Linked DNA regions of Oreochromis niloticus. The protein of the gene in region 1 purifies or fractionates together with the protein of each later gene. This does not show direct contact. Links are inferred from orthologs where the notes say so. Each region holds a gene or a part of one and is shown in the gene's direction. Other genes may lie near its edges. The genes, in order: clcn5b and tmem9.

Evidence for each region.
Region 2: the proteins of clcn5b (region 1) and tmem9 purify together in Homo sapiens (co-immunoprecipitation; 3 studies listed by BioGRID and IntAct, with this or other methods). This does not show direct contact. The link is inferred for Oreochromis niloticus from reciprocal best matches to the Homo sapiens genes CLCN5 and TMEM9.

The regions. Positions count from the first base shown.
Region 1 is NC_031967.2:31,600,583-31,616,026, reverse strand, and holds the start of clcn5b (H(+)/Cl(-) exchange transporter 5), read left to right. Parts: upstream 1-7,047; 5' UTR 7,048-7,436; coding exon 7,437-7,491; intron 7,492-7,588; coding exon 7,589-7,738; intron 7,739-15,444. UniProt on the Homo sapiens protein: Proton-coupled chloride transporter. Functions as antiport system and exchanges chloride ions against protons. Important for normal acidification of the endosome lumen. May play an important role in renal tubular function.
Region 2 is NC_031984.2:20,019,991-20,035,515, forward strand, and holds tmem9 (proton-transporting V-type ATPase complex assembly regulator TMEM9), read left to right. Parts: upstream 1-7,800; 5' UTR 7,801-7,961; intron 7,962-8,053; 5' UTR 8,054-8,106; coding exon 8,107-8,199; intron 8,200-9,297; coding exon 9,298-9,389; intron 9,390-9,524; coding exon 9,525-9,633; intron 9,634-9,857; coding exon 9,858-9,989; intron 9,990-10,093; coding exon 10,094-10,237; 3' UTR 10,238-11,500; downstream 11,501-15,525. Other genes in the region: cacna1sb (calcium channel, voltage-dependent, L type, alpha 1S subunit, b), read left to right, coding at 12,679-12,863, 14,236-14,341. UniProt on the Homo sapiens protein: Transmembrane protein that binds to and facilitates the assembly of lysosomal proton-transporting V-type ATPase (v-ATPase), resulting in enhanced lysosomal acidification and trafficking.

The DNA.
Region 1 (15,444 bases):
CTGTAAACCAAACTTATAAAACCCACAATATATTAGGCAGTTAATAAAACAAACTATTTGCCATTTAATAAACAATTAATACTGTAATAAATATGGTTATTGTAAAGTCTTACTGACTTCAGCACAACCAGTGAAGATCTTTAGAATAGAATAGAATTCAACTTTATTGTCATTGCACATGTCACAAGTACAAGGCAACGAAATGCAGTTTGCATCCATCCAGAAAGTGCTTTAGCAATAATATAGATATATTACAGAATAGGGATCTATTATAGGTATATATACACCGTGTATATGCATACAATGTACACGGTATGACGGTATGTTATGTTTATTATATCTGATCAGTGCAGATGATAACTTCAATTTATGAGTAATTAAATATGTGAAAATAGGCAGTAATTTCTTCTTTCTTTAGGAATTGATCACATACTAACTAACTAAGAGGTGAAACATCATCAAGAAACTTAAAGAAGTGCAGTCACTTTCCTTCACGGCTCCTTAGATTACAATGACATGGATGACTGAGAACCCACACAGACACTTTTCTGGTTAAACCTTTAAAAAAAAAAAACTTTAACAGTAATACGGACCTCACAAATTATTTCATCTTCCCATTAATTGCTAAGAGCAACATAGGAAGCATAAAATAATTTGTAATTATAAACCATTTGTAAGCATGTAAGAAATTTGTTGACATACTGTAGGGATGGTTTTGTTAAATACTCTTTATTTTAGCATCTCGGGTTGTCACAATATTAAATTTTTAAACTCTATACTCTATACAGCTTGTAAAATAGACTAATGCTATTACTTTGCTAGTAGGCTTTTGTCAACTTGATTATGGGACTTTAGGAGAAATATGACACTTGTTAGGTTACAAATAATTGTGCTATCCTGTTAAATTAATGCTGATTTTTCTTGCAATTGGCAGATGTTTGGTTACAGCAAGGACTCAAAAGCAGGCACACATGAACAGTTGACCGGTTTTTAATGTAAACTGTAGGCGCAACAAATAAAGGTATTGATACTGCAAACTGTACTTAGTCACAAAGTCCACACTAAATCTCTATAAAGCCTTTGGTTCACTAGTTCAGATTGCAGTAAGCTCCTAGACAGGCTTCTTTTCCTCACAACTCTCAGGTTTGATTCTTTTGCAACCCAAGGTCTTTACTCATAGTTTGGTCTGCTACCTTTTCCTTTTCCTGCAGTTTTTTTCCCACTGTTGTACTGACCAGCTGACTCTGCTAACAGAATTTCTACTCATAGTAAGTTTTAAAGCAGCAGGCTGGTTCTCAAACTTGGAGCGTCAGCACAGCAAGGGGGCTCTATCTCTGATTAACAGGCAAGGTAAATAGCTGGAAAGGAACACGGAAGCCTGAGTAACTCTACTGACTAAATAGCTTAACAGTGTAGACTGGAGGGAGGTAAGCATAGTTAGTGGAGGTAAGACAACAGGTAGACATGAAAATCCCTAACCTGACTGACATCCAAGACCAGAGGGCATGGGACCCAAGAGGGTCATCTATCGTCTATAGATCATAATCTTGCTGTGGAATTTTGTTTGTTATCAAAGAAAAACATCAGTGAATGCAACCGATGAAGTTTACTGTCAATCACATGTCTCACTGATATCTGGAAAGGCTGGTTTTGCAGAGTAAGCAGTGCTGGAAGGTCAGAAAAGCTTTTTTTTTTCTCTGTAGCCTTACACATGATGTATATAACATCTCATTTATTAGATTTTGTTATAACAAGTGACCAGTCTGTTTGCCCTTTTGAATGTGATGACGAGGTCATTTGTACTACTCTGTGTGTGTGTGTGTGTGTGTGTGTGTGTGTGTGTGTGTGTGTGTGTGTTTATACGTCAGGGTATTGGGTCAAAATTACCCAGTTTTACCCAGTTGGATTGTTCATTTTTTTTCTTTATTTGAATATTTTGTTCTGGTTTCTGTTTAATTTTGTATATTTGTTTGCTTTAGAGTGTAATTCCTCCCTCAGTCGTCCTTCCTCTTATGTCAAGTCTTGTTGTATTAAGTGTATTCATGTGTCTGTGGGTTTTACCCATTTACTTTTTGTACTTCCTGGTTCATTTTGGGAGTTATTCATTCATTGTGCTTTGCTTGAGTTGAGGTTTCTCTGTATTATTGTAGTAAGAATAGAATAGAATAGAATAGAATAGAATAGAATAGAATAGAATTGGATTGAATTAAATTAAATTCTCCTGTATTTATTTTATTCTTGTGTCTGTGTTTTCCCCATTTAGTTTTTGCACTTCCTGCTTTATTTTGTAAGCTAGTCGTTCCCTGTGTTTTGCCTTTACTTTTGCTTCGGCTCAGCTGTGCATCGTTGTTCCCAGCAGTCTCCACTTCCCCTCATTGCTTTTCTGTCTGTATATAGTCATCGTCTATCCTTGTCCCGTGTCAGTGTTTTTTCCACTTCTCCTTATCATCCTTGCCTCAGTATTCTTAGCACTAGTGTGTGTTCCTAGTGATCCCAGTAAATGTCTTATGGATTTATTAGTGGTGGCCAGAAAGCTGTTTTTGGCCATTGAATCTCATACTGAAAAAGGTTTCATTATTTAAAATTTATCAACTTATCTTTGGTGGCATCTGGTGGCCAAAAATATGAAGAGCAGCTTGAATCTACATGAACTACAACATTCATCTCTGCTCTTTGGAAAGTTCAGTGGTAGCCAAATGGAGAAAATTGGATTATTGAGGTCAGCTACACAATAGGCAGGAACTACTTTTCTTCCACATTTCATAATAATATGTGAAATATAGCTGTATAAATGCATTACATCTCACCATGAGTTTAGCTTGGAGTAATATGTATGTCCCCTGAGGTCACCTCTCATCAGTTCTGTTGGCCTAGATTTCGTCAGGTGAGGTTGTAGACTAGAGCATTTAAAGTTGATGGTAAAGGTTAGGTATTATTAAAATATACAGCATACATGCAGTAAAACAGCAACTGTAGGGTTTAAAAAATAAACATATGTAAAATATATAATGGTTGAGAAATATTCTCTCCCCAAACATGACTTTTTCCGTTATATCTTGCACAGTACTAACTTCAGTGAGAGCCATGAAGTCTCTCCTGTTGAGAAATTATTATTTTTAACAGATAAAGAGGTACCTGTGAAGATATTTTATAAGGCTTTATATTACGTACCTTCAGTGATGTCACAGAGGCTTTAAGGGCACATGGGAAAAGGAGTTAGGTATAATAACTGATGATGAAGAGTGGAAAGATGTCTGGAGTTATGCCAAATCAATCTCAGTCTGTAATCATACCAAAGCACTACAGTTAAAAATCATACACAGACTGCATATATCCATATTTCGCAGACATCAATATAATCCTACCCTTTCACCCATGTGCCTCAAATGCAAAACAGAAATTGGTACCCTAACTCACAGCTTCTGGTCATGTTTGAAATTGCAACAGTATTGGTCTAATGTGTTATCTGAAATGGAGAAGATTTTGGGTTGTGAACTGGAGATGAACCCTGTGTCTCTCATACTGGGCCTCCCCAGCCGGCGGTTAATATCCAAGAATAATAGCAGGTTGTATTCTCAACTAAGAGGCGAGGAAGAATATTTTACTCCAATGGATTAATGAAACAGCGCCAACTATTAAAGGCTGGCAAAGAGTAGTGTTGGATCTAGTGCCATTGGAATATCTTACATGTGTACTGCACTTTAAAACAGACCAATTCCTCAAGGTATGCGAACCATACTTGAATTATGTGGAACCTGACATCTCTAATATTATGCTACAAGGATTCTCTTGAGTGTTCAAACTGCGTCATACTACTGGGACCACAGGTATTGTACTGTATTGTATTTTTTATTTATTCATTTATTTATTAGATGGATCTGAGCTGGTGTTTTGTTTTGTGCTTAGTTCTCAGTCTGTTTGTTTGTTTTTGCTTTGTTTTGGGGTTGTTTATTTTTTGCTTTGTTTATTTTTTTTGTTTTTTTATTGCTGTGAACTGTACACTTTATTATGTTATGCAATTATGCATTATTTGTGAAAATGAAAAAAACTAATAAAATATTGTAAAAAAATAAAAATAAAACTATGACTCAAAAGTATTTCATACATAAGGGCAGATGTTATTATCTATTTTTAAAATGGTTCTCGGCTGGATTATTATTTATTGTCTGAGGTTGTTTTGTTTTTTTTTAATTTCATGTAGGGTAATTCATCCTAATTGAATAATAAGAACAGTCTGAACAGTAGTCTGATGTCTTATCATTATGAAGGTCTAATTTGAAATACACTACTTCTGATTTTGATTTTCCCAACACTTTAAGGCTTTGTACAAAGTACCGGAATGGACTCAGTATCGTCAATAACAGCTTGAAATTACTTGGTATCAGATCGGAACGGGTCAGTAGTGTCGACATCACTAATACAAGTCTTGCAGTATAGTGTATGTGCCTTCCCACCTGGTGGTCCTGCAGTAACTTTAGATGTGGTCTAGTGTAATGTGGTGAAAAAGACTATTACAAAGGCTCCAGTAGTTTCTTCAGCAGACCACAAGGTGGGGCTCTCTGTCTATTTTAAAAATTTACATAGGAATGTTGACTTTAATATTCTGGGGTCAAATATAATAAAACTGGGGGGCGGGAATGAATTAATGCACTTTATCAGCACACATCAAAGGTTCTGACTGAAAGAGAGGATGATGGCATTTATGAGGAGGTCAAACTCATCACTTTCCTGTGTGGAGAGAAAAGAAATATACCTGTCGGGGGAAACAAGAGCAAAAGCTGTATGTCTTATGGCTTCAGCTGGACCGGGATGCCAGAGGTTTTGAGTCTGAGTTTTATTTATTTATTTATTTAACTATTAACTGTTGTTTATTTAGTACCAGGTGAGTTAAAGAGGAACTTTACTGTACAAATCCCAAAGTTGATTCTGTTCATCTGGACGTAGCATTTTCAGTATGAGAAACATTTCATTACTGATCCAAGTGACTTCTTCAGTCTCAGCTGACTGCAGGTTTCCCCAACCTTACAAACAGTACATTTGCATAATGACTGAAACCAGCCCACTGAAGGAACAATGAGCTGTGAGGTTAGTTTTCTGATCATTAATATGCAAATTCTATGTGAAAGATGTAAGATGGTGAAAGATGTACCCTTAGGCCCCCTCCTCGATTCAGAGATGGTCTTTCCCTTTTCACGTAAATGGCCTCCTTGGGTCCCTGCTCAAACCAGTGTTTCTCCCTGTCCAGGATGTGTACATCCTCATTATTAAAAAAGTGTCCACTGGCATGTAGGTGTAAATAGACTGCAGAGTCTGCAGAGACAGCAATAGCGCATGCAATACTGCGTGAACGTGTCTCATAGGTTGATAATAAATTATATGCTTGCTGAAGCCATATTTTAAATAAGTGTCAAACACAAAAGTAACTTCATATTTTCATTTCATTTCTCTTCTTTTTTTTCTGCAGTAAGAGGAAAAAAATTGGTTTTATAAACGTAATGAGACCTGCAGAGGAGATGGTGGCACTAACAAAAAATAGGAAGTCGAGGTGGAAGTGGCAGAGCTGACGTTGTTGATATATTTTATGAGGAGTGTGCTTTGGGCACAAAAGTGTGGAAACCACCTTTTTTTCTCTTCTCTTTGCGCTCACCCTCCAACCAGTTACGGCAGTTAGCTGCCTCTTCCTCAGCCGTGTCTCCCAATGATTTCTTCCAGTTAAAAAGAAGCTATTTCTTCCCAACTGCCTTTGACTTAGGCCCATTCAGATAAAAAGCTCATTTGGATGAAATGGTAGCTTTTGTGTATCAGTTACTGTTACACCTCCTCACTACAGTAGATTGTGTATTGACTCAGTGATCTAATGAGTTGATAAAACAATGTGGCTCCTTGAACACTTGACACTCTTTTCTTCCTTGCACTTTTTAAAAAGAACATTCACATTTCTCCATGTGCATTTGTACATTTCTTTTCGCTATTATCTCACATAAAAAAGAGAAACACACAAAAAAGACCTCTGGAATTGTGTCTATTAGAAGTTTTTCCCCAAGACAATTTACCAGAATAAGAATATTTTTTTAAATCCCAGAGGAAATTATGTGATCACAGTTGCTTAAAAGCAGTAAGAACAGTAATGAACAAGTTAAAGTACATTATTAAATAATATAATACATTGGAAAGTAGTCAAAGTAATAAACATAGATTTATTATATAAATATCCTTATATATTACACCGCAAACTGTTTATGTTTCAACATGTGATGCTCAGTGCAGGGAATAATTTTGCTGACTGTCGGGTGATTTTTAATATAAAACTCACGTTTTGAATATTACAGTTATTATTGTTATCATTATTTTGATGACTGAGTTGTCGAACTGGTCCACTAACCCAATTGGACAAACGACAGTTCTTCACTCGACTGCTTTTCCTCGCGCCGACGGCGCTGGTGTTAAAGCGGCTGAGCCCTTACACCGGAAACTGCCTCCTTTGGGTTTCAAAATAAAAACCATGGGCTTTGACGTCGCGTAAAAATAAAAGCTTTAACGCCATATAAAAACAATAAAAAACGTAAAATGTATGCATTTAATATTTTAGGATTATCTTAAAAATGTGTCGCATTTTAAAAGCGTCAATTGATTTATACGACAGGTTTTTTTTTTTTTTTTATTAAAAGACTTAAAGGTAGACGTAGCCAATTTTCGCTTACTTGACGATAGCTTACCGTTTGCGCTTTAAGTAGCAAAATGACAAATGGAAATAGTTGTTGTCGCTACATTTCACCAGTATGGGTGTCCAAGAAGGGTAACACTTTGCTGAGACCTTAGGTGTACACATTGGGTCACAAAACCTCGGTGTTGGGGTGTCGGTGGATGACGCAGGGTTTTCTCAGTTAAGTTTACACAGGATACATAAGCAGCTCCCGCAGAAGAAGAGGACGGCGGGGCAAATAATCCAAGTCACAAGACTTCTTCTTCTGTGAGCCGCACGGCTGCTTTCTCCCCTCCCAGGTAAAGTAGGGCTTTACTCGTCTTTTTCTTTCATTATTGATGAAGCAAGGGGCAAAGCACATTTCAGTTAATAGCGGCAGCACTGGTGAAAGTTAGCTGTACGGTTACACCGTGTCGGGTTGTTTGACAGCTCAGTCCTCGTCGCGAGGAAAGAGGCTAATCCGTTGTTCCTGGGAGCGCGCTGTTTTCCGCTGCTCTGGTGGCTTTTAGCCCCGAAGCCGCAGGCATGTAGCAGAAAGAGCAGCGCAAAAAAAGAGGAAAAAAAAGCGGAAATGGTTGCGAAAACTTCACCGTAACCACAGATGTGCTGTCATTGACTCTGCAGCCGCTGCTTGGTATGAAGCGGGTGAGAAGAGCAGCTGTTGTCGGTGCCCGTTTCTTAACAGTAAAACAGTTAGCAGGGGGGCTTTTTCGCGTCTTACCTTTGCGCTACTATGTCTAACTTTTGGACGAGTTTACGTGGGAAACATGCAGCCGACAGAGAGAGAGGTAACTAAAGCCGTGAAGCAGATATATCCACTGTGGGGCTCGTAGAAGTTAACCCTTCCTCGCTAACTTCTTTCCCCTCCCTTTTCCCTTTTAAAAGGCTCCGAAGGGATGGAAAACCCCGGGTACTGCTCCGGGAGCTTTGACGGCCTTCATCATCCGAGCGATGACGATGATGACGAGATGGTGGACATCGCAGGAGCCACACTGGACTTCTCGAGCACGGACGACGTCCCTCCGCTCAGCTCAGGTGGGCCTGCTGCTGATCGTCTTTAAAACGCCTGGTTTCAGTGCTGAGCTTTTTAAATGTCACCAACCATCTTATGCAGATAAAACTAAACTCTTATCAGGGAGTTGTGAGGCAGCACAACGCATAAGTCAGCCAATTATGGTATTAAAAGTCCCCCTCAAAATAAATAAATAAGAGTTTGTTTAAATTCAGGAATCACTTTCAGCCTGTTTCCTGAACAGCTTCTTTCTTCTGACAAATAGATCGATACAGAGATCGATATAGTATTGTATTGCGATATTGTGCATGGTGATGTTATATCGATATTTTATTAAATACATTCAAGTACTCTGTGAATATTATAGGACAAGAGGGCTCATTTTGCCTGATAGGAGGCAACATTTTCTGCGAGCAGTTGCAGTCTGACTTGGACTGACTGCAGTCACTTGCAGAGAGATTGTTGGAGGTTTGCAAAGAATTGCTGTGTAAAGTCCAAATGCAACAGAGTCTCTGTCAATGAGTGTAACTCGAGGGGGCTCCACTCACCTCGTTTTGTTCTGGTTATATTCCTAAAGAACAGGAAAGGTTGCTGAGTGCATTTCTGTCTGTGTAGACTGCAACAGATATGCAATTTTGGAGGATTTATCACAGTTGATTGTTGCATTATCAGAAACAGAATGCATGCAATTGCCAACTTGAACCCATTTAATCACAGACTGATAGCAGACTGACTCCGTCTTACTTTAATGACAGGGTTAGTCAACAATGTCATTGTGCAGCAAAGACATAACTGAAGTAACAACAAGGCAAAAAAGTCACATGAAGTATTACTGTGATACTCAGCGTGTCGCAAGATGTTAAACGCTGCAGTAATATTGCATCGTGAGTGAAGTATTGTGTATTGTGGGGTAGCTCGGTGATTTCCACCTCTACTGTCAATGTAACGTGTATACAATAATTATGAAGTATAGGGCATTCAGTTAAACACAGCAGTATAAATGGGTTGTGCTGTTTTACAGCTAAGGTGACTCTGGGATTGAGAGCAGGCTTTTGGGCTTTGAGAGTCAGTAACAGCACAGTGATTGCAGGCTGCACCTTGTGGTTGATACAAAGAATGATGGTCAGGTCGGGATTGAACTTTCCATGTGTGGCTGATCCCCTGTGCATCAGCCGTCACATCATGGTTGGCTGGTCTTTGGAGCAAGCCCAGAGCATGGCTGAAGTTCACCAGCTTGCGTAAGAAGTTGCAGATTTGGCCTTCAGAGGAAATTCTGAAGTACTGATAGCTCAGAGAGATTTCATCTAGCTTTAAAATAAGTCAATTTTTAATTTTCTTTTTGTTTGTGCTACACATGCTCCCGTGACTTGTTTTACTAATTAATATTAGACTACACGGCTAGTTTAAAAGTCAGAAAACAACCAAAATGTAAGTCTGATGGACAAGGTTAAAAACTGTTGTGTTTTTGTCCCCTGCTGCAGATAAAAGTAATTGAGCTGAAGCTAGCAAGTGTTTATCACATATCACACATAGTTTACATTGAATGGATTAATATGCGGTCCTTTGCCTGTCTTTTCTTATACAGCTAATAACCGGAATAGGAATATTTGCTGAAAAAGAAGTCTTAGTCAGAATTAGAAGAAGGTCACAAGTTTTGTAATCACACTATTTCAACGAGTTGTATTAATCATAACCGTCATGGTCCGAACTAACAGCAAAATATAGACTTCTGTCAGATAATGTAAGACTGACTCTTTGGTTTCACTGTATGTGGACAGTTTGTGCATAGGTGTGTAATTACTTGTAATTTCAAGCCCATTTCAAAGCAGAAAAAATCCTGAAACAGTCATTTGCTTATATATTATAAACAGTAATTTGCTTTTTGGTTGCACAATGATATCATTACATTTCCTGTGTCTATCCAGCGCTCTCTCTCTAGTACGTGAGTAATTGGGCTGTCACTCAGTAGCAGCCTGGCTGTTTGAATGTAGTAGGATTACATGACACTCCCTTTTGCAACTTGACAGGTTTGAGGTAGGGGTGAGCAGCAACTGATTTTATTTTTTACCCTCCAAAAAAGCTGCACTGCAGATGCTAGTGTGGCTGAGCTGCTGTCTGGGAGTGTTTGCATGCTCTGTGATTAGTGTGTGTTTGTGCTCTCAAACAGTGATAAGGTATCAGTAATGGCTGTGTGTGTGTGTGTGTGTGTGTGTGTGTGTGTGTGTGTGTGTGTGTGTCACATGCTTTGTGAGTCACCTGAATGAACAGTGAGTTCACGCTTACCTGGTAATGTACAGATTTACTGTTTATATATATATATGGCTTACCCTCTGGCTGTAAAAACAGCCAATTAACTGAGATAAGAGCTTTACAGTGTTTGAGAATATAGTGGAAGATTTGATAAGTTGGTTTTACTTTAAGAAAATATGCAGAAATCATGTCTGGGTTTTTTTGTTTTGTTTTTTTTTTAAGATTTTTTTTTTTTATTTTGTTTTTTTAAAATTTTTTTTATTTGTAAGAATTGCTGCCAATTTCAGAGGGTGAGTTGGAGGGTGAAGCAGGTCAGATTAAAAGAGCTGTACTTCACTCAGTTCACTTCAATTGCATTTTATTTATATAGCATGGAATTAAAACAGCAAGTAAGGTAAAGACCACACAATAATACAGAAAAAGCCCTAACCACTTATAACCCCCCCTATGAGCAAGCACTTTGCAACAGTGGGGAGGAAAAACTCCCTTTTAACAGGAAGAAACCTCCAGCAGAACCAGGCTGAGGGAGGGGCGGCCATCAGCCATGACAGGTTGCAGGTGAGGAGAGGAGGATTTAATTTGGAGACAGGACACTCTGACCGCACTATTTATTTATTTCAGTAATCTTTATTTTAATTTATGTTTGAATAAAAAGACCTGAACATGAACGCTGACCTACGATATTGGCGCCCCAACCAGGTTGATAGCTAAACCTTTGGCCATTCTCAGTTATACAATAATTGAAAAACACATCAAATATTCACATGAATCAAAGTCTAACTGAAATAATGGTCATATGAAGTTGAACAATAATAGTCCCATTAGTCTTTGTGCTACTTAGAAAAAAAAGTGACATACAAAATATTAGACTTAGAACTTTTTATTGTCATTGTACAGTGGCCTGCACAATGAAATTATGTAGCAAGAATAGCAATATAAGAACACTATGTACACTATATACATGAAAGTAAAATGTTTGGGTTACAGGAAGCATTGTGGGGGTGTGTACAAGGGCATGGTAGTAAAATATAGTAAATATGGGTGGAAGTGCTGTGGAAATTGCACAGGAGAAAAAAATGGCAGTAACATAATAAATAGCAAAATAGCAGCAACAGAATGCTAGTATGATTGTATGGGATATAAAATGAAACAACTACGCAAAAGCAGACAAACATCAGTGCATGGAAGTAAACTTTAAAAGAGAGTGTACGACCTCAGTGGAAATGCGCAAATTAAATGGACTAAAGATGGTGTTTGCATTTGCTGCAAAGTTCATAAAGTTCCTTTAATCAGAAACAAGGCTGCCTGGTTACTAATGATGTCATGCTTTCAGCATGCAGTGGACATTTCTCTTTTTACCCTTGCTTTGTCATCATCAGACCTTGTCAGCCCACTCCCAGCATGCTTCTATTTGGCCAATTAGAGCTGAGATCCAACAGAGGAATTGAGTGAATGGAGTCATTTATTAGACAACTCTGTTTGTGGGTTTTTTTTGTTTTGTTTTGTTTTTGTTTTTTTTCATTGCTTTTTGTTAGTTTTCTTTTTTAGCCTGGAGCCACTTACAAGGGTATAACAGAGTTGCTGTTATTAATTAACAATCCTGTGAAACTCCTGCTAGTGTATTACAGTAAATTTGTCATATGGAGAAGTTTGAATCTTCCTCATTTGTGTTCTTCCTGAGACTTACTGACATGTTACTTTTCCTCATCTAAAGAGAAGAGCAATGTATCTTAACCACAGACACTCTTTCAGTAGTTTTCATGCTGCCATCCTGAGAGTCCGAGAAGCTGAAGCAGCTTCAAGTGTTTACCCTTACCACTTCCTTTTCCTCATCACTGACTCTCCCTGCAGATTAAGCAGCAAACATTTTTCCAGCTCGCTTCTGCACAGCAGAGTCGGATATAGCTCAGATCTTTCTGTTGTCAACTTGACATACCCTAAAATAAAATCCCAGACAAATTGGCAAACTGTGCCTGTTGCCAGGGCAAATAAAAGCGAAGGCAGTGTCAGCAGTGTGCGTTATCAATCTTCCTGGTTACTACTGATGTCACAGTGACATCACCAGTTTATTGCCGGAGTTAAAGCAGAACTATAAAACCATCACTCACTCTTAAGGGTAACCCAGTGGTTACCCTTAAGAGTGAGTGATCCAACTCTAAACTTAAAATGTCCCACTGTCAGACCCTGATAAATGGGAACTTACAATTCAGCTCAAACTTCTTTCTTTTCGTTCCTTTCAGTGGTGAAACTAGGCAGTAGGAAGTGTTTGTGGCATTTGTAACTGGTCTTTAGCGAGCACTTGAACCTGTTGCCAAGCAGGTTTCCCTGAAAGCCCTTAGTGCTGCAGGCATTATCGTTTACGTCCTTGTGTAACCTGTTTCCCAGGGACTCATTAGCCTGCGGTGTTTGAAGAGGAAAGTTTGGGTTAGGGAGGCACTGCTAGTCCAAATACTGACATCAAAGTGTTCTGATCCTTCTGTCATTCACTTCTGTGCAGTGAAGGTTGTCCTTTAGGTCCTATATATCAGCGGGTTTTTGATGTGTCCTTGATCCAGCTGATTCAAATGGCTAAATTACCTCCTTAACATGTCTTGAAGTTCTCCAGAGGCCTGGTAATGAACTAATCAATTGATTCAGTTGTGTTGACTCAGGGTGAGATCTAAAACCTGGCGGACGCCAGCCCTTGAGGCCTGGTGTTCCCCACCCCTGCTGTATATGTTTCTTCTTAGTCCTTGTGGCAGTGTACACTGTTCATTAAAAGAAACAACACTTTTCCCTTGAAATCCTTTAATCCTCAGTGGTAGTGAACATGTTGCTGCTTCTCCCAGCTCTCTGGCTTCGCTCCATGTCTGTTATCTGCTACCGAGTACAGTAAGAAGTGAATTTGTCAAATTACATGATTAGCTTAGACTGTGCAGGCACACATAGGAAAATAATTTAAATGTATAAGAGAAAAAACATTCAGTGGAGATCTAAATTAATACATTTTAGAGAAGTCTGTAATAAAAAAAGTATTTCTTCTATGGTGAGATTTCTCTGAAGGAGAAAACATTTTTACTCAGTGAACATCCTTTAAGAGCTTTTTTTTGTTGTTGCTGATATTACAAAAAAATGTCTCTTGAACATCCAACTGACAGACCTGTTGTGTCTGGAATTTGAAATGTAACCAAGAAAATATCAAGTTTTGTAGACTGTCATTAAGAACTTGAGCTAGGTCCAACCTTGAACTACGCCTCATTTTCTGCTTCTTCTCAAATAATTATGTGCACCTTAGATAATGAATCTTTGTGTACAAACATTAATCATGAACAAGGCCTAGAGTCACTGGAACATTTTCTTCACACTAGGTCTACAAAATCATCATCTAATAGGATGAATTTTTATTTTGAAAGGCATCAGTTACTACTTTGGCTTTAAACTGGATGAAAGAGGTAAACCTAAGGATGTAGTCAAAGCGGTATGCCACTTGTGCAGACGTATAGTGCGAGGACAGTACTCAAACATAACTAATTTGCATGGGCATTTACATGTCCACCATCCGGATGAGTATGCGGCTATCACCAGGTTCTGCAGCTCCATCAACAAACATTAGGGCGCACTCTGAGGAGGGTGCATTTGCTTGCAGATGAAAGAGGGTGCTGTTAAAGCAGCGCCAATATTTTTATTTATTTATTTTTTTCTGTTGACTGCTTCTATTAGCTCCATCATTATTAGCAAACTTACTCATGGGCAAATAAATAAATAAATTGCCCTTGTAAAAACTATAGTCGATATATTCGTCCAATCGCCCAACCCTATTAGCTGCCGACTGTTGACCCTTATCCTTTGCTGCATTAGCAAAACTGGAACAAAAGGAGAGATGATTGAAGAACTGCAGCCTTGAAATGATGCGTCTAGTTGCTTCAGCGCCTGTTATTATGTAGACATGTAGTTAAGTTGAAGTTTGAAAAGACTCAGTCAAGAAACTGGAAGACATCTTTGGAGGATTTCCAAAGAGATGATCGAAAAGTGAAAAAGTTTATAAAAGTGTTTCAAAGGACTCTTTGCAGTCCTGTGAGAAAACTTATTACTGGTGTAGTTAGTTTTTACCTTTAGCAGCAATAAGTCGAAGTAATCCATTTCTGTGTGACTATTAGCCCTTTGTTCTTTACAGTGTTTCTTCAGTTCATTGGGGTTTGGTACTGTTCTTTTTCTCTAATAAATCAGTTTTGTGTTCCTTTGCTTTATCACTTGTGCCGTTGTTGTTGTTATCCAAAGTGCTTTCATTGCAGCTCAGTTTGACTGCCAGTCCTGCTGTTTCAGGCACTGAACTGTCTTATCACACCATAACTGTGAAAACGGGTTGTAATGATTGACAGGGACTGGGCTGCCTGTCACATGTTACAGTGATAACTATGAAGTACTAAAATGGACAAAATCAAACGCAAATGAATAAATGGTTCATTAAATAAATCAATATAGCATTATACAATACAAGTACTTTAAAATACTTTTTGCATGAATTAGCACTCTAGTTAAAGTAACGAAAAACAAATCAGAAACAAATTATTTAATGTAAAAAAATAATACATGAATAAATAAAATGTTACAGAAACAGTTGGTCACATTAATAAATGTAATACCTCTTTAATGCCATATATTACATTTAAAAAAAAACAAAATAAACCTTTTTTTTTTTAATATCTTGGCATTCATGGCCCTCCATACTTCACAGAGATTGTGTCAAAAATGCAAGAGGCGAGAATAAAGTGCATTCATTTTTAATGGTGGAATAGAAAATAATGTTTTAAAAGAACACCTGTGTGTTATAAAATACATCTACCTGAGGTTATGTCTAATCTTAGACCACTCTTTTTTTTTTCTACAGTGGGCCAAGTAAAGGTCATCTGGGGATACTTAAATGTTAAAACAGCTGCCAATTTGTCACAGCTTTGCCTCTATACTAGTAAAAATTCCTCTTCAAACCATGAGCAGAGCAAGAGATTTGCTGAGCTTACTCATTCTTCCTTTTACTTCCTTTTACTGCAGGAACCTCTTGCACATTCATATGCATTCAGGTCCACCCCCCAGACAGTTTGAAGAATATAATAAAGAGCATTGCCTCTGGATTAAAAAGTTTTCTGTTTTTAAAAAAACAACCACAACAACAACCTAGAATTGTGTCAAAAAGTCAATCCCTAGATTTACCACTTCAAAGTTTTCAGTTACGTTTTGCTGACTTGTTGTTGTTAGTTCCTCCTTTTCTGTAACGTCTGGGTCTCGGGCACTTTGCTGCAAAGCTGCCTGTCAGTAATTTTCCAGCAGGACTGTTGCATCACATCCTCATATTTAAAGGTTCTTTCAAAATTTGATCTCCTACATATAAGGAAAAAACAAATCAAATCAGCCGCAGACACATATTTCTACTTGATTTATTTTTCCCCAGACCTAGTAAATATGACTTTTAGATCTCCAGCTTCATAAACTAATGACAGCCCAC
Region 2 (15,525 bases), on another chromosome or scaffold:
ACGGTCTGATGCTACAAGACTGACAACAACAAAAATCTCATAAATCCATATTTTATTCACAGTAGACTGTAGAAAGCATTTCAAGTTCATTTTACTATTTCATGAAAAATATTAGCTCATTTTGAATTTGACGGCAGTAACGTATCTCAAAAAAGTTGGGACAGGGTCATGTTTGCCACTGTGTAGCATCGCCTCTTCCTTTAACAACAGCCCATAAACATCTGGGAACTGATGAGAGCAGCTGCTGGATTTTGACAGGGTAACGTTGCCCCATTTCTGCCTGATTAGGATTCTAGCTGCTCGACAGTTCTTGGTCTTCTTTGTCGTATCATTCTTAAAATGGTACGTTTTCTCAGTTGAAACATTTGATATGTTTTCTATGCGTTTGTGAGATTTGTGAATCCTTGCATTCTGTTTTTATTTATATTTTTCAGAGCTTCTCCACATTTTCAGATCTGCGTTTGTAACTTAATTGCACACATTTTAGGTTGAGACTCCAGGTGTCCGTTTGGCTTTTAATAGCTAGATCGAGCTCCAAACCTAGATCACGCAGATCGAACATTGGATTTGTACATTATGAAGAAACACATTACATTACTTTCCTATTTTTGAAATATTTAATTGATTTCTGTCATTTCCTACACTGATCCTACGCCATCCTACATGGGTTTTATTTTTGTATGTAGTAAGGCACTGAAAAGTTACACTAAAACACCGTTCATGTATTTACGTCACTTTAGATTATAGCTGCAGACCTTGCTGTCAAAGGCTTCACGATATCATAAAATGTTTCTTCTACAACAGTGAGTTGTGTGGGTCACTGAGAGAAGCATTTATGTAAATACATGTTGTTGTTAATGTCATAATAAACCTCAAACTCCAATATGCATCCACTGTACTGGTGTGAAAGCAGAAATCTAAAAAATCAGTCTATACTAATAAAATTTGGGGCAAATTAAAGAGAACTATGTGCAGACACTTAACATAAATAGCTTTAAATGTGAATTACTCAGCTCACGTCTCATTTTTCCTTACTGTCACCTTCCTCTATCTTACCTTATTCCTTTACTCCCCTTGCTCTGCTCCTGCCGCCGTCTCTGAACCAGTCATCCAGAGCTTGCTCCATGTGTGTTGAAGATTAGTGGTAGAGTGTGGGGCTCTATTGATTTCTGAAGCTGTGAGATGACAAGTTTGATCTTATATCACAGGGTTTACGTCTGATTTGTTCCGGGCAGAAAGCACCAAACAAATATAGTTAAGTGTTACTCAACCATACCGCCTGTAGAGATTAGAAAATTATTTTGCTGTTACTATTCATGTTGCATTAGTTATCATTTCATCGACACATTTTTTGAAGCTGTTGAGGTTAAAGTCTGTATTTCAAGTCTGTATTTCAGGTGGTAGCTTAATCACATGATAATCTTTCATTGCAGGTGCAACTGTATTCATGTTATACACATTGCATTTTTGTGCTAATTAAAGAGTTGAAGCTCGGTCAATTAATTGATGGTCGGAAGCTTCAGCGGCGCGAGGTCCGACTGATCTATTGAGTAAAGTGACCTTGAGTTATGAAAGAATTGCATACATGCTTACAATACATCACGCACAACTTAGAAACTGAATAGAGGCCTGTGTGTTCAGCAACCGACTGCATTGGAGTTCTGCCTGGTAACAGATGACTCAGAGTAAGGTCATGCACCGAGGTTAAGACACATGGGCTGTCTGAACACACATACACAGTGTCTAGACTTGTTTTGCTTGAAATTGCGAAGTTTCAAGCAAAGAAACTGCATACGTGACAGTTCAGTTCCCCAAATAAGTGTAATAGGTAAAATAACAGGAAACATGTAGTGGAGGAACAGAGGAAGGAACTGTTCTTTTTTTAGAAGATGTTCAAGGTTGGAATGACTGGAACATGTATGTTTTTTATCTGCTGTGACGCATATTACTTGTCATCATATGTTATATATATCACACCCCATTTATTGTTGTGAGAAGACCGATGCTTTTTGGGTGATCGTGCTCGGCTTCCCACATGTATGTGTTGTAATAAAATCATTGTTTTGACACACTGGGACTTTGCAGTCGTCTGTCTCTTCCTCAAATACGAACCATGACACGCCTGTAAAGACATTTTTACTTTATATCGTTTATGTCTGGAGAATAGTTTTGTTTGTGTATGTGAACGTGTCAGTGGCAGTCCGTCGTGGCGCACCACTGAGCTGCCAGGTCAGATTGCAACAAATGCCGAAACAAAGGAAGATGACTCACAGTGACATTTGGCGAAGGAGGCCCCTGTGGATGAAATCCATCGTGCCTCCAGATGTGGCCTGCAGCTGGGGCAGGTAGATCACAGACTGACATGAGGAGATGGAGTAAGGGTGTGGCAATGTCTGTATCACCTCATTAGGGAAAACTTATCACACAGAAACCTCTGTCCCTACCTTTTGGAAGGAGTGGAGTCTCCTTCCAAAGGATTAGAGCTGACAAAATTTTCTGATCATGGAATCGCTTTGTCGGGGAAAAAAAGGCTCTTGGTGACTTTTGGCTGTTTACCTTCCTCCTTCTGTTTTGAGAGCGCTGACTCTGAAAGAAGATCCACATCGATATCTATATCGGTGCTTTTTGCTGACTGACATGTGTGTGTTGTGTTTTGCTCGCTGACTTGATCGGCCAGGTGCCTAACATTTTTTATCTGTAAGGATTCTATGCATCGCTGGCTCTATAAATCAGTCTGGGGGGCCTTGTCACTTAAAGTAGACATTAATAGCTGACAGTTTATTGACCGGCCTGCCTGTATTTGTTAAACCAGCAGGCTGTTTTTTCCAACCTAAATTGCATCCTTATATACCAACAACAAACTTCCTTCCTCCCCTGCAGCTATTTATCTACCTTTCAATCCATGTCACCTTTCATTTCTTGCTATTGTTTTCAGCTGTCTTCTTGCCTGACCCCTGGTCTCCCTTGAAAGATGCGTGTGGATTTCTGGCAGCTTGCTGTTTTATTTATCTTTTTTGACCAATTCTGCAATTGGCCTATGAAGCTCTCTTTGAAGTTTCCCTGCGTCTCTCTAACATCTTGTGCAACATCAAAGACAACACATTACACGGGGGCAGAGTTCACCCGAGAGCCACTGCAATTCAAGCATCATCGCCATGTTTCTCTTTTCTCCTCCTGCAGGGGTGCAACACTGCTAAAGGAGAGGAATAGCGAGTGGTGGGCGGGTGAGTGCGGGGACGGCTTCCCTTCCTCCGTTTGTGTCCATCATGTGTCATGGCCGCTCTTGGCTTTCATGTTCTGTCTGGCTGAGTTTCCTGCTCCAGCAGTCTCTGTTTCCTTGCTGAAAATCGGTGTCCCTCAGAGGCAGGAGACACTCCCTCCTCTGCATCCATTTCAGCTCAGCTCAGCGTAGCCGGGCTCGGCTCTCACCTTGCTGACACCAGCTCCTCAGCAGACACCTTTCCCCCTGCATGGGCTCAGCTGGCTGACAGGCAGCTGTCCGTACAGATAAAGCAGAGCAGGACACACACTGTACTCTGAGTCACCATCACTGCTTACTGCTCTAACACCTTTGCTATTGCCACCTCTTTTGGTTACAACATTTCTCGAGCAAGCATCTCACACTACCTCCATCACTGAAACTGATAACAGGTGATCTTTATCTTCTATCTCTGTTTGAAGATCACACAGAGCTTTTTTTATTTTAAAAAAACATCTTGTAATTTATTAATTCTTTGATATTTTTTCCTGTAACTTCAACAGGATCAAACTAAACACAAAAAATGACAAGTTTATTCCACATGTGGTTAATATTTAGACCTAATGCAGGGGGCTTTGAGTGAAACACCTAAGAAGTAGTCGTTGTTTGATTACCATGGGAAAGAAAAATTCAATTCCAGGGGCCCAAAACAAGCCAGTGGCTGATGAAGACAAATGTGCAAACACATGTTGGCAGAATTGCTTTTTGGTTGACTGTGATCGGCTACGCTCAGGAGGGCGGAACCAGGAGTTGTGATTTATAGTTTTGCGCTGTCCCTGGATCACCACTGTCTGCTACCTCCCACTACTGTAATTACCACGTGTGTCCATTAGAATAGTCCTACTGCCCACAATGCACCACCTCAGCGGAGAGGAGAGGAGAGATATCGCTTCAGAGATAGTCTTGTTATTCAAACAGTGTTCTCTCCAAAAGCATGATACAGAGGAGGGCAAAAAGACACTGCAGATGATGTGATAAAGGTCAAAAAGAAACATACTGAAAGGTTGAGGGGTGTATTGAAAATGCTAGATTAAGGACAAAAACCTGTAGCATCCTATAGGTGAGTCATATAAGGTAGGTATTTATCTACAGTGCTGCTGTAGCTGTTTAGCTAATAATTAATTGGTTTTATGTGGCTCTATCTTTGAATTTCACAATATATTTTCTCTTGTTTTATTTTATATGCCCTAGATCATATCTACATCTCTCCAGATCTTTACAAAGTCTGCTTTGACTAGCGTCTGCTGGTCGAGATTGAGTTTGCTTTGCCTTGGGCCTTATAGCATCTCCTAGTGGGCAAAGTGCCTGATGCTTTCAGGTCCCTGGAAAATGAATGTTTTGAGTAATGTGATTCAGTCGATACTTTCAGGTACCTTGACAAGTAAGAGAACTTGACACCCTCTGATGTTGTTTATGAGTTGAATTTCTCCGCAGTGTTTCCATTATGGATCATTTCCCTTTGCTGTTTTATAGTCAGGCTGCGTTCGCAGTTCACTGGCTAAAGACTTTGTCAAAATATTTGTATCTGTCCGCATCAATTACAGCGCTTTTTTTTTTTAGTTGAGTGGTAATAAACCACTTTACATAAACAACTAGATTCATTTTTCTTTCCTAAATGAATATTTTTTTACCAAGTCTACCCAAAGAAGAACTCAATCCCCTTTCTTTTCTTAAGAAGTCTGAACTGATAATGAGACCTGGCACTAGGCTCTGGTCAGTGTCATTTATGCTGTAATTGGCCTGGGGATTAAAGGGCAGCCATGCATCAGAGAAGATGAGAACTAAGTGGCTTACAATGACAGAAGTGAGAGAATGAAATATATTATAGAGAGCTCGCACAAATCACCATCTAAAGCGTTTATGAGTCGAATTATGACGGAGATCATTACACGAATGAAGGAGTACATGCATGAGTTCATGAAGTAATCAATTGAGGAATCAATTAAAAACCAAAACACACTTAAAACATTCAGAACTAACTTGCCAAGTATATCAACAGCAAAAGGTCATTGACAACGTAAAAGACATCACCAGCATAATATTGTCTGGGTGAAAGGTTTTCTCCACATAATCTGACCAGTTCTTGTCTTTTCATAAAACTAAACCTGCTAACTGTGAATAAAAATAAAACAGCAAAAAAAAAAATTTTTTTTAAAGATAAATGCCCGTGAAGTATCACCTGTTAACTCCCACCCAAAAAAAACAGCATCATGGTTGACATATTTCAGTAAAAGAGTAGAAATCTTTTTTAATGTATTGTTTTCTAAAGGAAGAAATGGTGCCCGGTCATAGATTTTAAAATAAGTAATTTGTACAGCATGAAAAATGAGTAAAAATATGGATTTCCGGGATTTCTTCCGTGATCTGTGTATGTGTTTCACATGATTAAGTCTCCCATCACTCACATTTTTTAGGCGTACAAATAGCTCAACAACAACAACCTTGTAGGCAGACATAAACTGACTGAGTTCACATCCTTTGTGAAGCTGAAATCCCAGCACTCCAAATCTCCATACTATATATAGAATAAACAAGTTCTTGGCAGCATTGCAGCTGATTTAAGTGGTTGAATCACAGGTCACATGAACGACAGTGTTTACACACAGACGGTGCTCTGTTGTTCACGCTGATATCGTAGCTTATTAGAGAAACAACCACGGTCTCGATTGATCTATATGACCGAAAGCTCAAGAGGTTCAGGCAGAATTTGTGAGTCATTGATTTCTGTGGCTTATTAAAGGTATGAGTAGCTTACTATACAGAGAGATGTGAAAGCAGGATTACCAGGAAATAGGGGTATTGATTGGGTCAAGAAGCTAAGACTCATATTTCAAATTCCAAAAGGGAAACTGGATTTGACACAAGAGCAGTGTTGACCAAAACAATATAAAATATCCTTGATTATTCTGGTCATTAAAAAAACATTAATGTTACAAATAAAGGCTGCTTCATGTATATTATACATATGATTGCTATTTGGAATTATGCATTATTGATATATCTAATTTTTAGACACATTAATATTTAAGCATCATTTTAATGTTGTAGGTGGTCAAAATGTAAACATTTCATAGTTGAATTGCTTATTCTATAATCTGCAGTTCTGTAAATCTGAGCTCTGTATATGTACAGCTTCAGCTATGACACACTTTAATCACATCACTAATGTCTGATAAGACAACAGTAAAGATGGATAAGAGGCTTTGGAGTCCACAGTGCTTGTTTGCTTATAATGCTGATAAAAAAATTTAAAAAAAAATGCTGTTTAAACTGTTGAAAGCAAACCTTTGGTCCAGGCGTTGTAGTTTCACAATTCCACTCACTACTGTAAATGTCAAATATGGAAAGCAATTAGCACTGAGGACTAAAATGTGCAATAATTCACAGAAAAGTAATGGCTTGATTAAATTAATGAAAGACTGCAAGTACACTGACCGGATCCCAACAAACTGAATGTGGGGAAAATGTTGTCTATGGGATGTAAGAACAATGCTGGGATCAAAACCTCAAAAATACAGTCAATTGTGCAAGTTACTGGATTGTTATTTCATCTCTCTTGCTAGGTAAATATGATATAGAGGGAGGACTAAGTTTGTTGTTATGGTCTAATGCAATAGTCTTTATATACTCCCATATTCTCTTTCATTTCACTTTTACTTAAGCTGCTTTTCTATCTGGTAAAGTTTTGGGGGTTTCGGTGTGCATAGTTTGGCATGCATTTTTAGCCATATCTGACAATTTTAGCTATTTTCATTCATGGCACACATATACTGTGTCACTTAACACAATACTTTCCTCCACTCGGAGGGGAGCTGGAGCCTTTCCCATCTGTCATAGGGCAAGTGGCAGAGTACACCTTGTACACCTTAGTTGCCAGTGTGCAGCACATAGAGACAGAAAACCATTAATACCTGCAGGCAGGTTAGAATTACCAGTGAACCTAACTCCATGCATGTCTTCGGACTGTGGGTGGAAGCTTAAGTACCCGGACAGATCAGCACGCAAAGGCCACTCAAAAAGGCTCCAGACTGGATTCAAACCCAGGACCTTCTTGCTGTGTGGGGGCAGAGCTAACCAAACTAAAACAAAACAAAACAAACAAACAAAAAAGAACAAACAAAAAAAACCCACACAAAACCCCTCTGTTTCTCCAAAATATGCTGCATCTCCTTTTTCTTTCTGGTAGCTTCCACCATATTTAATAAAATCTGCAAAGCTTGTGACTTCTTTGGTAACTTTCTTTGATGTGTATGACATCAGACAGGCTGACCTTTTTCCTTTTTCTGACTATAATAAAAAAGTCTTCCCGTCATATGCAACTGGTAAAAGCCAGACTTTAGAAAAGCGCATGTCCTGCAGAACCAGTCAAAATGTGAGACACTGTCTAAAGATATGTGTGTTTGTATGTGGGCGGGGGTGGATAAAAATGTTGTGCAGTCCCACATAAAGAGGGACAGTAAGTGATTATAATGTAACCTGCTTGATAAATATGAATTCTTGATTATTATTTTTACTTCTTATTTTGTCCAGCAGGTGGCGCTGTCTCTGCATGTTTGGTGTCGGATTGTTTTCTTCATGTGTGACGACAGTCCGGAATAAGGAAGGACAAAATTCATTTGTCGATCTTTGCTCTAAACAAAGTGAGAGCACACTTTCAACCTGAATGCAAAGCAGAAACAGACGTTTTCCTCACTCTCACAGCGTAAGTTACCGCGTTGCTAGCTTTGTTTTTACGACATTTCGTGTCGTGGATTTCCTGCCTTGCAGTGCTAGCTAACTGCTATATTTTGACAGAGCCTTGCTGGTGATCCTTCAGTCGTCGTGCCAGGTGTTTTGCCTTTGGGGAAATGTCGTGTGGTTGGGGAAGATCCTGGATGTTTGCTGCAGCCGCAGTGGTGACCGTGTTTCTGCTGGATGTTGTCGTTTTTGCTCGAGCTAAGGTAAAAGACCTGCTGGTACACAGAGGATCTGTGTTTGTGGATTAAATCTCATCAAGTATTGCTTTGTTTATGGGAAGATGTTCAGTAAACTGTGCTCAGTTTTATTCAGTGAAATATAAAGATTGTATAGTTAAATAACGAAATGTAAAATAATAGTTCAAGGGCGATATTGCCAGCACAATTATGCAATTACATCTACTTAAAGAATACCTGTTTATGTTAGTCTTACATTAGTTTATCTAAATAATGATTATGTAAATACCCCTGAACTACTGTCAGGACACTCGTGGATTTCTTAGCCAAATTGGGGATTGTAGTCTTAAAGAACTAGAAGTAGGAATACACTGCGAGGTTGCAGACTAAGACAAACTCCAGTTCTGCAGAAGAGACTCCTTCAAAGCAGACTGAAGTATGCCAAGGTCAACCTGGAGAATGAGTGTGCATAGAAAGTGAGTCCTTTAGTCAGATGAGACAAAAGGGAAAAGGTGTACAACTCACTGGGAATCTCATTAAGGTAGAAGGTATCATAAAAGATGGATATGTGAAGTGTTTGAAAGAAAACGTCAAGCAGTCAGCAGCAAAACTGGGTCTGGGTTTTGCTTTATTTTCCAACACGATAATGACCCAAAACATACATCACTCCTGTGAAGAACTGCCTCCAAAAGACCATCGAATTTGGAGGCGTTTGAGAAATTGTCGTGGGATCACTCAGGAGGTGTGAGTGAGACTGGTTGGAAATTGCAAATGTATAGTATCGTAGGCTAATAGTTTTGGCTCTGGTAGTTTTTGGCTAATGTGAAATAATTTTGTTTCTGTGCCCAAATTAAAATTATGTAAGCATCCAAAAAGAAAAGCTGTGTTTTAAAACTTCTTGCACTGTTAAATACTCCAAAAGATAAAACTTCCATAGAGGATCTCATAATTTAGTGCTCATCTGTGTGTTTGTGCCATTTGACTTAGAATAACTGGAGTATATGTCAGAGTGTTTGTTTGTTTAACTGCTTGTGTTAATAATAGAGAGACGTCTCAAGTAGTGCTGTAGGGGAAAGATGGGCTGAATTTGGGGCCACTTTCACAAAAGTTCCTTAATTCTTGCAGAGCTTTGAGGATGTCCGCTGCAAATGCATCTGCCCGCCCTACAGAAACATTACCGGTCACATCTATAACAGAAATTTCTCCCAGAAAGATTGGTAAGAAAAATATTTTATTTAGACTTTTATGGATTTTTAAAGAAAAGGCGTTACTCTTTCACTGCGCTGCTGTTTTTAGGGGTTTTCTTTCTCTTAGCTCAGTAGAAATGACAAACGTTTTAATGTTTTTCACAGCAACTGCCTGCATGTAGTGGAGCCCATGCCTGTTCCTGGCCATGATGTGGAAGCCTACTGTCTGCTTTGTGAGTGCAAGTATGAAGAACGAAGCAGCAACACAATTAAGGTACAACTGACTTTCCTTCGGATATGACGACATATCTTCCTCAGCTTTTATTCCCAAGCAAAGCGGGTCATTGTGATTGTTTGTCATATAAGATGAGTCGTTGAAAATATTGCAAAGCCTTTCTAGTTTATTGTTTTGTTTTGGGGTTTTTTAAAAGAAAAGAATTTATAGTTTGCAAAGGTTGTATGTTGGATTCAGTGAGTTACTCTTGCTAAATATGACAGGTGACCATCATCATTTACCTGTCGGTTGTGGGCGCCCTGCTGCTCTACATGCTCTTCCTGCTACTGGTTGATCCTCTTATCCGCAAGCATGACCCATACACCCAGCCGCTGCACAATGAGGAAGACTCTGAGGTAACCATTCAAAAAAACAGCATCCAAGCACACTCCAATGTATTTATTTGATTTCTGTGGAGTTTGAAGTTCTTGATTTCAAACCATCTCTGGTTTGTGTTCAGGAGATGCGTCCGCAGCCAGAGAGCAGCAGCCAGGCCAGAGGAAACACGGTGCTGGAGCGGGTTGAGGGAGCACAGCAGCGCTGGAAAAAGCAGGTCCAGGAGCAGCGCAAAACAGTCTTTGACCGCCACAAGTTGTTAAGTTAAACCTTAAGGCTGACCTCAACACCAAGTTTAGAGTACGTAACCTTCCTGGGCCGTCTGATATTACACCAGTGGCACTATCACAAAACCTCTTTGTCATTGCTGTGCACCGCATCTGCCGAATTAATATTTAAACATCACACATCTAACACGACAATGTTTAAACTTGGTTTATTTACTAGATGTAAAAACTTGAGATGGGCAAAGCTGCAGTTTAAAGAAAACTGATGCTTGAAGCACTCCTGATGACCTAATGTCAAATCTTTTCAGCAAATTGGACATCAGTGCAGCTTTGAATGTCTTAATAAAATAATAACTTTTCCCATTTTGCACTGGCTGTCAAAAGCATTTCAGCTTATTGTGTGTTAATATTTATAATTTTTTTCCTTCAAGCATAATTTATGATGTGATCTCAGATAGAATAAGCTAAGTTAATTAGGACTACTCTGTCTATACAGTCTCAATGCTGTTGCTATTGTTTTGGCACTAATTATTTATTGGTATTTAAATCTGGATGAATTTAATGTATGATTGTTGATTTTGGACTTTGTATATTCACATTTGAGCAGCGCCCCACTCTGTGCCTTTCCTGTCTCTCTCTTTGTGTGGGAGATCGTGTTTCTCCAAACTCTACAGCTTTCTAAAAATAACAGACGGGAAGGTCAACTAAGAAATTTCACCCATTGTTAACTAGTGCTTGCATTTGTACTCATTTTATTTTTAAATTTTCTGACTGAACCCAGCAGCACATCTGTGTGTTTTTGTTTTTTTCTGCAGCACAATGTGACGAAACACTCTTTTCATGCAAAGAGAGAAAAAGAAAAGGAGGCATTTAGCAGAGCTTTAAAAGGACTCTCAGAAAAATCACAGGAGAATGCCCTAAACCACTAAAGCTGATGATAATGTGGTTTAGTGTGGCAGAATCCAGATGCTTCGTGGCTTTGAAAGGGCCTTGTGTGCATCATTATCTGTCAGTGAATTCCTGCTCGCATCCTATTACTGAAGCTCCCAGTTGGGAAATTATTAGTACAGCAAAAACAGGCACACTGGCTTGCATTACTGTACCTCATACACCGTATGAACTACTGAAGTTTATTGGTTTCTAATTGATTTGTTTTTTTGTTTTGTTTTTTGATTAGTTGATTTGTAATTATAGTTTAATATCCCTGCTGTCAATGTTTTATATGCATCTCTGGCCTAAGTGTGCTATAGAACCATATGTTTAGCTTGACGTGAAATAATAAAAGGAAATTCCTCAAAAAAAAAGGTTTTGGAATTTTTTTTTCTCCTTCAATTACTTTTCTCCTTTCAGATTTGCTGTTCCTGTTAATGGCGCTAGAGGGCGACAAAGTACACAGTAAGTGCGCGTTCTTCTTGCACTGGTCTGTGGTGCTTGAAGATTGAAGTCTTACATGTTGAGTGGTGTTCAGCTGCTGGGAAAACAGTCACCTGTGGCATGTTTAAGATCATGTTGCCAGTTTGAGAAGGTGTTTTAAAATGTGTAACTACAAACGTCCTGGTTTGGGAATTACACGTTTTAAAACAGCGCCGCTTCTACCGACTGTTTTAAGGGCTGGTGATAGTCGGTTGGTTGACTTTCATTTAAATTGTTTGGTTATGAACAACATTAACACTAAATCATTTGGTCACAGTGAATGTTACAGAGTATTGAGTCCATCATTCAGTGTTGAATATTATTCTGATGAAGTTTTGCAGTTTTCTTTTTAGCTATATCACAAACAGCAAACCCTGATTTAGCATTTACACGCACCACACAATCAATGAACGGTCTGTAAGGCACCATAATGGGCTGTATGGAAACGTGAAGATTTTATTGTTTAATCTGAGGCGCTTACAGCGGTTAGGGTGTACTTACGGATACCTATTGTTCATTATTCCTTTAAATACCAGCCTTCAGTTATTATTTAGAAATGCATAGAGCTGCATTATAGTGTTTTTTTTTTTTTAATGATTACATGTCTCTGTACTTCTTATGAATCCTAAATAAGAGGTTGACAGTAAAGTAAACCACACATATACAGACACATACACAAACAAAATCACACAAAGAGACACAGTCCCCCCCCCTCACTCTACCCTTATAATCATCCCCAAGCATGGCCTGCTGGTGGTTCATAATCTAAATTTAAACTATACCAAGGCCAACTGCTCCTCCAGTCACTCTGGGCTCCTGCTATTTTTCCTGGACGTGGTGGGCTTATTTTGTCAGAGGCCCTCAGCCAGGCAGAGAGGCCTGTGGCTCTGCCCGGGTGAGACCGACAAAGGAGCGAGGAGGAGGAGAAGGAGAAGAAAGAGGGTGCCAGGGGAGCCTGAGGAGGATCTGCTTTCACAAAGGGGAGACACACTGGACCTGAGTTTGGGATTTTACAATAAACATTAACTTTCACAGGAATTTGGAGCTTGTCTAAGGTGAAGGCATCAAGATGGCGTCGAACACAGAAGCGGCCAAGCCGATCATCATGAATGAAGAGGAGCTGAAGAGGAAGCAGAGGGAGAAGCTTAAGAAACTACAGGCCACTGGAGGAAACCCTCGACCCGCGAGATCTCTCTTCCTGTTCAACCTCAAAAATCCCTTCCGCAAAGCCTGCATCAACATAGTGGAGTGGAAGTATCCTTTAGATCTTTCAGTCACACACACCTCAGACAACTGTGTGTATTTTAGAAGAAATTTCAGTTTAAATATTTCTTTGAAATTCAAGGATATCAAGGCATTATACATGGCATTATACAGTCAGCGCAGCATGGAGCCCCGGTTTAAAAATACTGACAGCAGGGCAGTGAATTAATAGCCTTGTTCACCTGTGGTCAGCATGCTCAAGCCAGGTCTCTTCCAAATGTGTGATGAGATGATCCCTGAAGTGTTAAGACTTTTGTAATGTTTCTGATCTGTATCAAAGTCAAGTTTGCAGCCTGTGGAGTTTCACCTGCTGTTAACCTGAGATCACCTGACAAAAGCATCAGGCAAAAAAACAATTAACAAGGTAGTCTTATTCAACTCGCTCCTTATTTTTTTTAAATGTCCAAATAGTGACTTCAGCGTCCAAGTAGGAGAAGATGAAAGAGCACAACGCGGGCTTTTGATAGCTCTTGTGGCCCCTGTAGGCAATTTTCTGCTTTTAGCCTCATGGTCATTCCTGGATCCAGACTGGAATGAGTTGATCATACCAATCCAGTGATAGGAACCTCTTGTTCACAGCGTTTAAATGCAGATACACAGACTTTGAGTTTAAGAGTGACCACATGTTAAAACGTGATGATGTGTAAAGATCTGTTCTATTTGACATTTCGTTCTGGTATGTTGGACCACGTCATAAGTCATTCCACCGCCACAGTTTAATCACATTGGTATGTGGTTTGGTAACACAGGGCTTAGGTGCTGTATAGAGAGCCAAATTATGGAAAATTACTAAAAAGTCTGAAGACCCAAAAAAAAAACTGTCCTCGTACACGGATCTCAAAATTTAAAGAGCCACTTTTTTCTTTATTTCTTTCCTGGTTAACAGTCTGTGTTCAAATGGTTTGGTCATATTCTTGGGCTCTGCAGCTGTCCCATGGCATCACACTGAGACATCATGCTGACCTGGCAGGGGAATTCTCACAGAGAGCCCCCTATGGGTGAGAATGAAGCAGCACAGCAGGCAAGATTACATTAAAGTGGAACACTTTGCTGGCTACCCAGGGGGGCTGCTTCAGGGATGATGTTTCAGGCAGCATTTAAAGGCACTAGTCAGTGCCTACAGAGCTGCTGCAGAGCTGGATTTGTTACACTGAAACACAAACGTAAAATAACTTAGTCAGATAAATAAACTGACCGTTTTATTCTTGTGAAAGATTAAGTCATCCTCCCACTCTCACCCATTAACATCGTAACATACTAAACATAAGACAATAGACCTTTGTGGATATTTTGGGGGGGCAAACTCTGATTTTTGTTGCTGTTTGTTGTTGTCGTTGTCACGATCCTGAGCATCCCCTTCCAGAACCTTTGAGATCATCATCTTATTGACCATTTTTGCAAACTGTGTAGCTTTGGCTGTGTTCCTGCCCATGCCTGAAGACGACACCAACAACACCAACTTAAATTTGGTAAATAAACATTGAGCCTTTTTTTTTTGTTGCATGTCACATGACTGTATGAGAGGCCACTGTGGTGAATGATGACTATATCGATATTTCATTTTCATAATATTCATGATACATAAAAGAATTGAAACACTAAATTAATCTCGTGTTTTGGGGCTCATGAAGGCTCAGTTTTACCATCACTAGTAGATGACTGTGCAGCTCTGATCAGCAAGTGAGTGTAGTAATATTAATTTACTACAGCTTTGAATCAGTGACAAGCTGTGGGATGCCAAACGCCATTTGAATGTGTCCAGAAACAACTCGGTTCTTTATTTGGAGCCCCATCTGTGTCTGCAGAGGAACGAGTCATCGAGTGTCTCGTTCTCAAGTAGTGTAAAAAAGCTGGTGGCAGGTGGACGATGCTGATGTATGTCCAGAAAGATATTATGTTTCAGCTTCATAGGTGTGTGTTTTAAAGCTGTGAAACTGTTGGTAGTGTATTACAGGTCACAGACTATAAAGATAAACAAGATGCACATGTGAGCAAAACATATATCTGATCATGCACCGTGCATATATTTGGCCAGTGCTTATTGGATGTGTCCTATTGACACCAATGTTATGATAAATAGATCACTTTCTCTTAGAGGTTTGGCATTTAGCACAAATGTCAGCCATCGGTTACTTTCCTACATTAAGTCAATAATACTCCACATATATCTTTGGGTTAAAGTTCATGTCAGTCTTTGTGATTTATAGCCATTTTACTTTTATTAGGAACCCAAATCTGAGCTGATCTCTTCATTGGCCCTCTTCCTAAATCCTCCTTAGTTCTCACGGTGCCATTCCTCAGGTGAAAATGCAAGAAGAGATGGACCAACCCCCTCTTTCACTGTTAGAAGTAGGTCAGCCTGAGTACCGTCACTCCACTGATGCAGGTGATACAGGAGAATCCGCCAATGTTGCCTCGTGTAACCACAGCCACGTATTCCAATAATATGATAGCTTGTAATGTTGATGCGCAGTAGCCTAGCAGGGCAGCTTTCCTTGGTGAATTCGTTTTACTCGGGGTAACACTGAGTAAAAGCCTATAAATGTGTGTACACGCGTTAATGGATGCAGGGTCAGTGATTAGGACCAGTGTTTGCTGGTTCAGCTAGAGATTATTGAGCTGATTTAGGGAAAGGGAAATAAACTGCATGTCA